3 linked regions of the Arabidopsis thaliana genome follow. The main gene of each other region encodes a partner of the protein of the gene in region 2 in a complex. Each region holds a gene or a part of one and is shown on either strand. Other genes may lie near its edges.

The links.
Region 1: NdhT (region 2) and PnsL2 share a complex: the UniProt entries of both Arabidopsis thaliana proteins name them as parts of the chloroplast NDH complex.
Region 3: NdhT (region 2) and PnsB5 share a complex: the UniProt entries of both Arabidopsis thaliana proteins name them as parts of the chloroplast NDH complex.

The regions. Positions count from the first base shown.
Region 1 is NC_003070.9:4,837,935-4,841,341, forward strand, and holds PnsL2 (PsbQ-like 2), read left to right. Parts: upstream 1-1,866; 5' UTR 1,867-1,950; coding exon 1,951-2,424; coding exon of another isoform or gene 2,425-2,439; exon of another isoform or gene 2,440-2,599; coding exon 2,600-2,698; 3' UTR 2,699-2,863; downstream 2,864-3,407. Other genes in the region: UCP3 (Mitochondrial substrate carrier family protein), read right to left, coding at 197-727, 1,282-1,668; AT1G14160 (Uncharacterized protein family (UPF0497)), read right to left, coding at 2,864-3,079, 3,234-3,357. UniProt on the Arabidopsis thaliana protein: NDH shuttles electrons from NAD(P)H:plastoquinone, via FMN and iron-sulfur (Fe-S) centers, to quinones in the photosynthetic chain and possibly in a chloroplast respiratory chain.
Region 2 is NC_003075.7:5,930,580-5,934,594, reverse strand, and holds NdhT (Chaperone DnaJ-domain superfamily protein), read left to right. Parts: upstream 1-2,119; 5' UTR 2,120-2,442; coding exon 2,443-2,768; intron 2,769-2,854; coding exon 2,855-3,278; 3' UTR 3,279-3,485; downstream 3,486-4,015. UniProt on the Arabidopsis thaliana protein: NDH shuttles electrons from NAD(P)H:plastoquinone, via FMN and iron-sulfur (Fe-S) centers, to quinones in the photosynthetic chain and possibly in a chloroplast respiratory chain.
Region 3 is NC_003076.8:17,579,266-17,583,028, reverse strand, and holds PnsB5 (NAD(P)H dehydrogenase 18), read left to right. Parts: upstream 1-1,753; 5' UTR 1,754-1,883; coding exon 1,884-2,105; intron 2,106-2,180; coding exon 2,181-2,244; intron 2,245-2,350; coding exon 2,351-2,413; intron 2,414-2,492; coding exon 2,493-2,551; intron 2,552-2,698; coding exon 2,699-2,929; 3' UTR 2,930-3,162; downstream 3,163-3,763. Other genes in the region: AT5G43755 (non-LTR retrolelement reverse transcriptase-like protein), read left to right, coding at 1-52. UniProt on the Arabidopsis thaliana protein: NDH shuttles electrons from NAD(P)H:plastoquinone, via FMN and iron-sulfur (Fe-S) centers, to quinones in the photosynthetic chain and possibly in a chloroplast respiratory chain.

The sequences.
Region 1 (3,407 bases), on a different chromosome or scaffold from region 2:
TGTCCAATCTAATTTAATCAACAAAAAAAAAATGATAAATCTATGGGCCTACACTTTTGGGCCCAAATTTATATAACTCTTCTCGCGTTAATCAGAAACTGATGCTACTTCTCAAGGTTCTTACAAAATGTGTAACAACTAACAAGTAAGAACTAAAGAACACAAATCTCAAATTTGCTTTTCCAGTTTCTCAGGTCTAGAAGGAAGAGATTCCTGCCAGCAGTCTAAACTTCTCATAGGAGACCCAAAACACGAACTGCCACGGTCCAAGCCTTGCCCATGTCGGGAAGAAACCTTTCCACAAAGCTCTTATTCCTTCAAACTTAACCGTCTTCACCAAACAGTCGTAAGAATTTCTGTACACAGCATTTTCACCCTGGTTCATCATCCTCGTCTTCACCACATCAGCTGGACAACTCAAACTTGTCGAAGCAAGACCCGACATTATAGAAGCAAGAGTGTGCGCAAAAATGTTATCCTCAGCAATCTTCTTATCGATGACAAAGTGTTTGGCGTGATCATAGCAAGCTAGTTCTCCCATATTCACTAGAAATGCTCTCTGGATGTTTGGAAGAACACCTTTCCATAACCCTTTTACTCCTTCTGATTGTAGGATTTTGGTAAAAGCCTCGATTGGTCCCGAGTACCTCGGTTTCAGGCCTTGGCTCACCAATCTACCATCTGCTTGCATTCTCACTTTGACCAAATCAGCTGGACTAGCCACTACCTGCATTTCTAGTATGGACACAATAAGAAGCATTTTAGTGTGGTGTAGGTATAAACAACACTCAAATGTCAATTCTAAAGATATCAACAACCTAAAAGATAGCTACATTTCTCACTTCAGTAGCGTAAAAACAATTGAAAATCCTTAATAATTAACTTCGCCGGAAATCTACGAGTTTCCATAGGTAATCAGTGATCTGAGAGAACTTAATTGTAACACATAGGAGACAACAAGCAAGCACAAATTTTGGATTAAGGATCTGTGAAATACATTGAGACGTCTATGACTAGGATCTGCATTGGTTCTTATCTCTGAACCAACCTAAAGTAGCAGCTAACTTTGGAATGAAACGAACATTGAAAGCCTATAAAACTTGAAACAAAATCTCCTTCTAATTAATACCTTCTTCTACGAAACATATTCAAAGGAAACTATACATAGAGATCGATTGTTCAATTCGAAATGTTAATTCTACTCTAAGCAACTGTTAATCCAGATCCAATTTACAGTCAAAACATGACTCTAAAGATTTACCGGTGAAGAAACACCGTTACCTGAGCTATAACACCAGAAAATCCTCCGACGAGAGCCTTTGTGGCGAGAGGAAGAGACTCGCTATTGTTAGTTTCAGATCTGACGATGAGTCCTTTCAAATTCTCGTATCCAATGATTCTGATAGGCGTGTAGAACAGGTGTCTGATAATCGCCGGAGATAGACCTTTGTAGAGACCAATCACTCCTTCCTTTCTCGCAATCTCCGATACGACTCCGAAAGCGCCAATCCGATGCGCACCAGAAGCGGATCCCGAACCATGGAGCTGCATTCTAGTCTTTGTGAGATCAATCGGAAACGTAACTGACTCTGCAACCATCGCAGAGAGTGAAGCAAGCAGGATCCTGGTTCCGGTCGGTGCTTCTCTGGTCACTCGGCTCCGCTCCATTTTCACCGGATTTGATTACCACTAACACAATGTCCATCACAGAGAACACAACTTGATTCTATTTCGTAGTCAACGACATCGTTTCGGTCATCAGAGTGTATTTGACGACGTCGTTTCCATAATATTGGGCTTTAAAGTCTTATGGGCCCATGTTCACAAATTCTAAAATACAAAACTTTAGAGATAACAGCCGACGTGGCAAAACATGAAAGACCGAGTAGACATTATAGTTTTGAGCTCCTCCCATTTCATATCCTTAAGAAAAACAAAAACAAAAATCAAATGAGCTCCTTCACCACCACCAACACTCCGCCACCGTATCTCCTCCGGAAAATTTATCATCGCCGTGTAAACCAACCGTTCTCCGTCGTATGTTGCACCGGAGAACCCCAACAAGACATCTTCACCCGCCGGAGAACCTTGACTTCACTAATAACATTCACGGTCATCGGCGGTGCTACGTCATCAGCATTAGCACAGGAGAAATGGGGGACAAGGTCATTCATAAAGGAGAAATATTTTATGCCGGGACTATCACCTGAGGATGCGGCGGCGCGTATAAAACAGACGGCTGAAGGATTAAGAGACATGAGGGAGATGTTGGACCACATGTCGTGGAGGTACGTTATATTCTACATAAGATTGAAACAGGCTTATCTGTCTCAGGATCTCACCAACGCCATGAACATCTTGCCGGAGAGTCGCCGGAATGATTACGTTCAGGCGGCAAACGAGCTTGTCGAAAACATGAGTGAGGTATACGTTATATAATTAATGAACAAATTAAAAACAGAATTAGTAATTTTTAATGCTAATTTAAGGTTTGATTGTTAATAACACTGAATGTTGCGTTTTGTAACACATGATCATATGGAAGTCAAACTTTAACCACATGTTAATATTGATATCTTTCATAATTTTGATATAACAGTTGGATTTCTATGTACGGACGCCAAAGGTGTACGAGTCCTATCTTTACTACGAGAAGACATTGAAATCGATAGACAATGTTGTGGAGTTTCTTGCTTAATTCAGTTGTATTGTATATATGTCTTTCTTCATTCTTCACATGAAATCTCTGGACTCGTTACATTAGATATAAAATTAAAAGACTTAATAATGTATATTCAAGAAACATTTCGTTTGCGTGATTTCTCTGCAAAATCAGATCGATATATATATGTGCATAGATATCTTAGTGGCGAGAGAGGGAGATAGCGGAATTGATAACAATAAGCATGAGTAAGATCACTGCGCAGAAAGAACCGATGAGAGATCCCGAGATGCGTTCACAGAATCCGTCAAATTGCTGGCAGATCGGTGGCCAATTAGCAGTTGTGTTCCCCTCGTGAGCTAAATACACGGTGGCTGTTGCTGCAGATGCTCCAGAGCTAACCAAAGCCAGCATCACCTGATTATATATAGAAACCATAAATCATAACACTTTTGAGTGATCAAATTTAAATTTATATATGGGTTTTCATTAAAATGTTAGCTTTCTTGGGTCACAAGTTAGTTGGATATTTGGTGCCCTGTTTTGTTCTCTTAAAGAGGGAGATATTTACCGTGTCGACAACGAGCAAGATGATTCTCGAGGTTTTAGCTTGAGTACTGAAGATATGAAAGATACTCACAGGTAGAGAAAGAACCAAATATCCACCAGAAATGGCGTTTGCAACCACGAAAAACCTATAAAACAGAGCAGTATTATTATATATACACAATCAAATTCATGATTC
Region 2 (4,015 bases):
CTGTTGTTATTGGGTATTTAAAAATGACTTATTTAAACAAATTGGTTATCCAAAATTCTGCGGGGGACAACGTAATATATAATACATTAGGAGACATGATTACCTGATAGCGGGGGACAACGTAATATATAATGCGTTAGGAGACATGATTACCTATTAGCGGAGAACAATTGGAGCAAGACTTTTGTTTTAGTCTTCAGATCTTGTCCTCGAATAGAAATTCTCTTTTGCATCTACGTTTTGTCCTCGATTTCACCATCTTGCTCTATTATTATGAATCCTACATCTTATATGCAATTGTTCTCATTTAATAATTTTGAATTTTATTTAAATTTTTGCGATCTATTTTGATCCACAGATTAGTTGAGCGTTATTGTCTTCACCTACACGTTAACATATTTTAATAATATGTTATATCGGGACAAGTTCATATCGAATGAGTAATAGAATTGGATCGGGGACAAAGTCAGATCGAATGATAGACAAGATAATATGTAATAACTGAATATTTTTGTTGTTTTACAATAGAAGAAAAAAAAATCGTGTCGGTGAAAACAATAATGCTCAACTAATCTGTGGACCAAAATAGATGGTAAAAAATGATGAAATCAAGGACAAGATCTAGATACAACAGAAATATTGTGATGAATAAAATTGAGAGACAAATTTAATTGAAAGTTACATGTAAAGAATCTGTGCAGGTTGTCAAAGAAAGTGAGAGAGTGACAAAAGCGCTTCATCTTCGGGAAGATAATAATATATGGTTAAAGCGCACAGATTTCAAGGAAGGAGAGATAAAATAGAGAAGAAATGGAGAGGGACAAAATCGATATTTCAGTATGAAATATGACATGAGTTGTAAGGCCCAGCAAATTATGGCAGATTGCATAAGGATTGGAAAAAATATGGCATATGTTGTAATTTTTTCCTTTTTAAAAATAATCTAAATAATTCTATAATCAATATGTGAACGATATTATACTTTACAGATCTTTTTGTAACTTCACCTTAATTATGATAGACCTTGCAAACAAATAAATGCAACAAAAAATAGACACTAAAAAATCTCAACAACAATCTTTAAATTATAAAAAATCACATAAATATCTTCGGGATTCAAATTTTAATAATTATTTAAACGGATTTTCTAATTTATATCAAAACCAAATATATTGAATATAAAATATACAAATAGGAAATACATTAATTTAAAAGATACAAAATATTTAACAAGAAATTGTGTTATTTTTTGTTCAAAGAATTCGATATAAAATCTTCGAAACGATCCGATATTGATTCTTATTAGATTGAAATTGTTAAAATTTCAATATATTATACAATTTTTCTTTTTAAATTGAAATTGTAAACCGACTCGAAGTATATTAAATAAAAATATTATTAAAAAGAAAAAGAACAATTTGATTTTTAGTTATCACGGGACGGATTTATATGGCGGGACGGGTTTACAGGAGACGAGTTTACATGGTAGGACGGGTTTGGATGAGACGAGATTATATGGTGCTATGAGTTTAGATGGGAAAAATTTGGATACCACGGGTGTACTCCTAGAATTAACAATCAAATTACAACTATACAATAGTAAACAAAACAAACAATAATAACATAACAAATACAATTTTAATTTCAAATTTTTAGTTACAAAAAAATAAATAAAATCAACATTTTAGTATAAGTGTTAATCTTCTTTGACACCTCTAAATGTTATTCTTCTTTGATACATTTAAATGTGTAATTTTAATATAAAGTTACTAAACTACATATGTTCCATGGATTAAATTTGAAAACACCAAAAGTTTATATTAAATAATTTTTTTATAACAAATTATGAATAAAATAAAATATTATCCCGTGGTATGGTCTATCACAAGTCAAATCCTAAAAGATAAAATAACATATATTAGACTTATTAATATCATAATTGTGACTCAATAAAAAACATACACAACCTTATCGATAATTATTAATCATCACAAACAACAACAAACAACAAATTATATTTTGTGATAAAGAAAAATAAATAAATAAATTTAATTTACGGTATATCGCGGGTCATATCCTAATTATGATACAATTGTCTATTTTTACCCTATATATATTACAAACGCACACATTTGTTGCATAACATATTTAGACATCGCTTCCAAAGAAAGAAATCATTTATCTCTACATTATTTCTTCCTCTCATTGCCCCTCTCTTCTCAACGTTTTGTCTCTTATATCTTTACGTTTCATACTTTTTTTTTGTTGACATTTAATTATTTAAATTTTTTGTTCCTATGGACACTAGATAGGACAACAAAAGATATAAAGAAAATCTACACCACACATATCATGAGGTTCTGGAACAAGTTTCTGCGGTAAGAGAAACCAAAAACATGAAGGGCAGAAAAAAAAAGAACAAACCATCTTCAACACAGAGCCATGGCTTATGCAACTTCTACCTATGCACGAACCTCATGCATTATCCTACCCAAAATCCAAAACGGCGCGCATTTCACGGATGACACGAAAGCATTTAGAAGGATAACAGCAAGAAGAGTGACGCGTATATACGCGTCACAAGGCCCGACTAAACCGTCAAAACCATCTCCAGGAGTAGACACAAGAATCCACTGGGAAAGCCCGGACGAAGGCTGGATCGGAGGAAGATCCGACCCGGCCAAATCGGTTGATGAGGACAAAACCAATCTCCTTAGTGACGAAAAATTTGCAGAACTAATCAAAGACTCTTTTGATTCTCATTACCAGTGAGCAAAACAAACATTCTCATTACATATCTTTTTATTTTTATTTTTCAATATGTATTGTAACATGTAACAATAATCATTTTCAGATTCTTAGGTGTTTCAACGGATGCTGATCTAGAAGAGATAAAATCTGCGTACCGGAGATTATCTAAAGAGTATCATCCAGATACAACTTCACTACCACTTAAAACAGCTTCAGAAAAGTTCATGAAATTAAGAGAAGTGTACAATGTTTTGAGCGATGAAGAGACTCGGAGGTTTTATGACTGGACACTGGCTCAAGAAGTTGCGAGTCGTCAAGCTGAGAAAATGAGAATGAAGCTAGAGGATCCGAAAGAGCAAGATTTTAGGGGCTATGAATCAATACCTGATATGGTTGACCGGTTAGGTGGAAGAAACATGGAGCTTAGTGATCAAGCAATGACTGCTCTCACGTTCGATATTTTGATCGTATTATTCGCTGTTTGTTGTATAGCTTTTGTGATTGTTTTCAAAGATCCTTCTTACTAGGTAAGGAGCTTTGTATATACTTGGAAAATTCATATAGTTTATATGTAGATGGAAGATTAACAATTACAGATTATAAGATCATTTGAACTAAAATAAAGTGGTCTAGTGGTTCTGTTCCTCACCTTTTTTGTGTGTGTGTTATTTTTGGATTTTTTCTAAGCTATCCAAACATTGTTTTAGAGCTATATTTTGTTATGCTTACCTAGCTAATCCAAATAGTCTCATTTATATAAAACAAAGCGAACAAAATAGTAGTTTTGATAACTAATGCGGAATTCACTAGTTTGGGAAGTATAGTAGGAATAAAAACTAGGGAGATTTGCAAAACTACCCTTTTTTCACTACCTTTTGCAACAATACCCTTTTATCAAGTCTTATATATATGTAGCACCTGACTCAATCCTCCTTAGACGTGTTCCTTAGAACTGTTCGATGCACATTTTGACTACGTTTTTTTTTCTTTTTTTCCTAAGATGTAAATATTTCACTAAAAATGAAAACAGTTTAAGAGTATAATCAAAAGACTATAAATGGTCCCATGACAAAAGAAAAACATGAAGCATAATTTATCAAGCAAACTTCAGTCCATCCGCATAACAAACGCACATAAGCTAATAGAACTAGATGAAGTGATAAAGGATTTTGTTGTTCTTTCAGACTAGTTTGAGTAAATGAAGGGTGATAGCACGTGAAGAAGCCAAAATTGTCTGCACACTAAGCACTATAAGCCTTTCACT
Region 3 (3,763 bases), on a different chromosome or scaffold from region 2:
CTTTATCCCATTGTGTATCTCAAATGCTCTGTTTTCAGACTACGTTTCCTAAGTAATAAAAATGAAGTTCGTGTTAAAAAAAAAAAAAAAAAAATGATGCCATTAACTCATATCATAAGTTCATAACCCAAAACTAAACTATCGTTTCATGTGTACTAACTACTTGTGAGATTTTCACAAGTCAATAACATGCGTGTGAATCTTTAACGCGTGCGTGATAAGTTTTGTATTTATATCATCATTTGGTATGTGTCAACACACAATTTGGGGAGAGTTTGTGTGGTAAGTAATGCAAAAATATATGTTTGTTATATAACATAGAACTGATTCTAATTGCTAAGAAAATTCCTACCAAACGAAGCAATTACGTTCAACAATTATTCTTAGAAGTTTGAAGAAACCATTCTCTACCACTCCACAATTCTTTCTTCTTCATTGGTTTTACAAATTCTACCTTTTCAAGTCATTCTTAAATCTTAAATAAACAAAACCAGTTTGAATTTTTTTTCGTAGTTGGTAGAAAAGTGTGTTCCAAAATGAGTTCTTTAGAAAAAAAATATTTCCAAAATGAATTATGATTTTTAATCTCTCTGCACCTTTAGTTATATCGGTAAGATATCTCAAATTCTTCAAGCAAATTATGGTACATATTTTCTATAGATAATATTGAAGAAAAAAGGAGCTTAACTAGTGTTGATTTCAACTATCGGAATCAAATATATATTTGCATTTCATTAGACACTAAACCTTTCAACAAAAAAATAATAATAATTCAATAAACACTACATGTGTAAGTGCATGTCACATGGATTACAAATCATTAAGCTAATATCTTCGATGAATTAAGAAGATAAGTGGATAACAAGTACCTAACCGCAATAGTCCATAAATTAAAACATTAATGTATTTGTCGTTGAAAATTTGGCCGACTTTTATTTGTTATTCTAGTTTCCACATCAAAAATGTTTGTACTTCGTAGCAATCCATCCACCTAAACCCCAAATCTTAATTTATATTTGTTGCGTTTAAATTTGGGTGAGATTTGATTCTAAGTAGTTGAGATAAATTGATATTCTATTCATTAGTAAAATGATAGAGAAATTGGTTTATAATAATTTTACCCTAGAACATGACATGATATTGGTAACCATTAATCAAAGAAAGAGCAAAGCATTTAATTTACCCTACTCTCCAACCACTCCAGCCTTTATTAGTTGCAGTTGGGAATCATTTCTTTATGATTCTTATGTCATTGTCTCCTAAATCAATGAAGTGCCTTGACCTTGTTACTAATTCGAACATAGCAAAGCCAACTACATAGATCCTTTACAAAGTTCTAAAAACAGGTTGTTTAGGCGTCTAGACAAACAAAACCATTTTGTACGATTCAACAAATTGGTCCATAGAATGTTATTGATCTTTCTTGTTTAGGCATTCGATAAATCGGCTAATACATTATTTTTTTGTTTTGCTTTTTCCTTATTAAAAATATGCAAAGTATTATGATGTTTAACCTGAACTGAATTTTACATTTAACTGGATATAGGAAAATATTGGGTTGAATTTAATAATTAAGCAATTGTCACGTAAATCAAATTGGGCTTAATATATATTGTTGATTTCAGCAAAGACAAAGTTGGGCCGTTTCAATAGTCTTCACGCGATGTAAGCGTTCACTAACCAACTAGAGAAGACAATCAAATGAATACGTTCCACGTGACGCTTACGAACTTGTCAGTCACTTTGGTAATATGACAGACAGTAACCAGTAAACTACTAATCTCTTTCGCTAACGAACACACAAAAAAAAAAAGAACCGTTTTTTCTTTCTATGGCTCCAAAACTCTGAGACAGAGCAAGAAAAAGATAAAGTGAGTGAAAAAATGGCAACGGTCACGATTCTCTCACCCAAATCGATTCCAAAGGTCACTGATTCCAAATTCGGAGCTAGGGTTTCTGATCAGATCGTCAATGTCGTAAAATGCGGCAAATCCGGCCGGAGATTGAAGTTAGCGAAGCTGGTCTCAGCGGCTGGATTGTCACAGATCGAACCAGACATCAACGAAGACCCGATTGGTCAATTCGAGACTAATAGCATTGAAATGGTAAAGATTCAATTGATTTTAAATTCATAATTCTGCTGAAAGTTGTTTCTGATTGGTTAGCGCTTTTGTTAATAGGAAGATTTCAAGTATGGATATTACGATGGAGCTCATACTTACTATGAAGGAGAAGTTCAAAAGGGTATAATTTTGGTTTCTCCTATTGATTCTTGTCGCTGTTTCGATTTTAGAGCTATAATATTTCTTTGTTTGATTGATTGATTAGTCTTCTTGGAAATGTTTCTTAGGAACATTTTGGGGAGCAATTGCTGATGACATTGCTGCTGTGGATCAAACTAATGGGTTTCAAGGTATGAATTTAACCCGCTTTTTAGTGCTTTTTATGTACCGCAGATTGATTGAAAACTCGCGGTTTTTTTATGTCTGCAGGTTTGATCTCTTGTATGTTTCTTCCTGCTATAGCTCTTGGGATGTATTTTGATGCTCCGGTAACTTCAAAATCTTTTGCTTGCTTCCAAAATTTATCATTACTAGTTTTATCGCTTTTGTTTTGTGGAGGACGTACAAGAGATTAGATAATTAAGCCAAGTATGAGAAGAAAAAGAATCACCAGTGTTTGTGTGTGTGTGTTGCAGGGTGAGTACTTGTTCATAGGTGCAGCGTTATTCACGGTAGTGTTCTGTATAATAGAGATGGATAAACCTGACCAGCCACACAACTTCGAGCCTCAGATATACAAATTGGAGAGAGGAGCTCGTGACAAGCTCATTAATGACTACAACACAATGAGCATTTGGGACTTTAATGACAAATATGGTGATGTATGGGATTTCACCATTGAGAAAGATGATATCGCCACACGATAAGATAATGGATTGTGATCTCGTTATAATCATGACTTTTGATGTAAACTGTTTTATAAAATTGATGAATGAACGGGGTACAATGTGTATAATATTGATTGTTCATTCTCTTATTTTTCTTTAGTACCATAAAACCTAGATTCTCATCTTGTAGTGTTAGGTTTCTGTTCTTCACTATATGTTTTTTTAAGATCTAAGTACCTCGTATGGACCCAACGAGTTTCCATACCCATCATTAGTTCATACAATGGTGGATAAACCATACAATTTGAGGTTGACGTATGCCACACGCTAACTTCATCCCCTGGTCCAAACACAACAATATAGTGTTCCAGTATTGTGGAAGAGTCCGAGGAGCTAAACACACCTTCGAGTTCTATCGAGTTGGAACATCAAGTGACAAACCAGCTCCACTCCTAATCCCTAGTCTCTCTACAAGAAAATGCTTTAACGTATCTCTGACACTTTCTTTAATATTGTGCAAACTATTCGTAAGTTCCATACCAGTTTTTACTATGATACTAGATGAGTACCCACGCTACGCGTGGGTTTGTTTTGAAAATTGTTAAAAAATATTTAGATTGATTGTTAGTTTTGCTAATTTATGTTTATTTTTGTATTGTTAATGAAATTAGATCCATATTATTTACAATTTTTATGGTTAGATTCATTTGTAACTCGAAATATCAATTTCTAATTTTCATGTATAAAGCTATTTATAAGATGTTAATATTTGTTCACTATCAAAAATACATATAACAACAATATATGATATTTTGATACAATTATGTGTAACCATGTTACTTGTGTGGTTTAAAATTTATCTTACTCGATTAT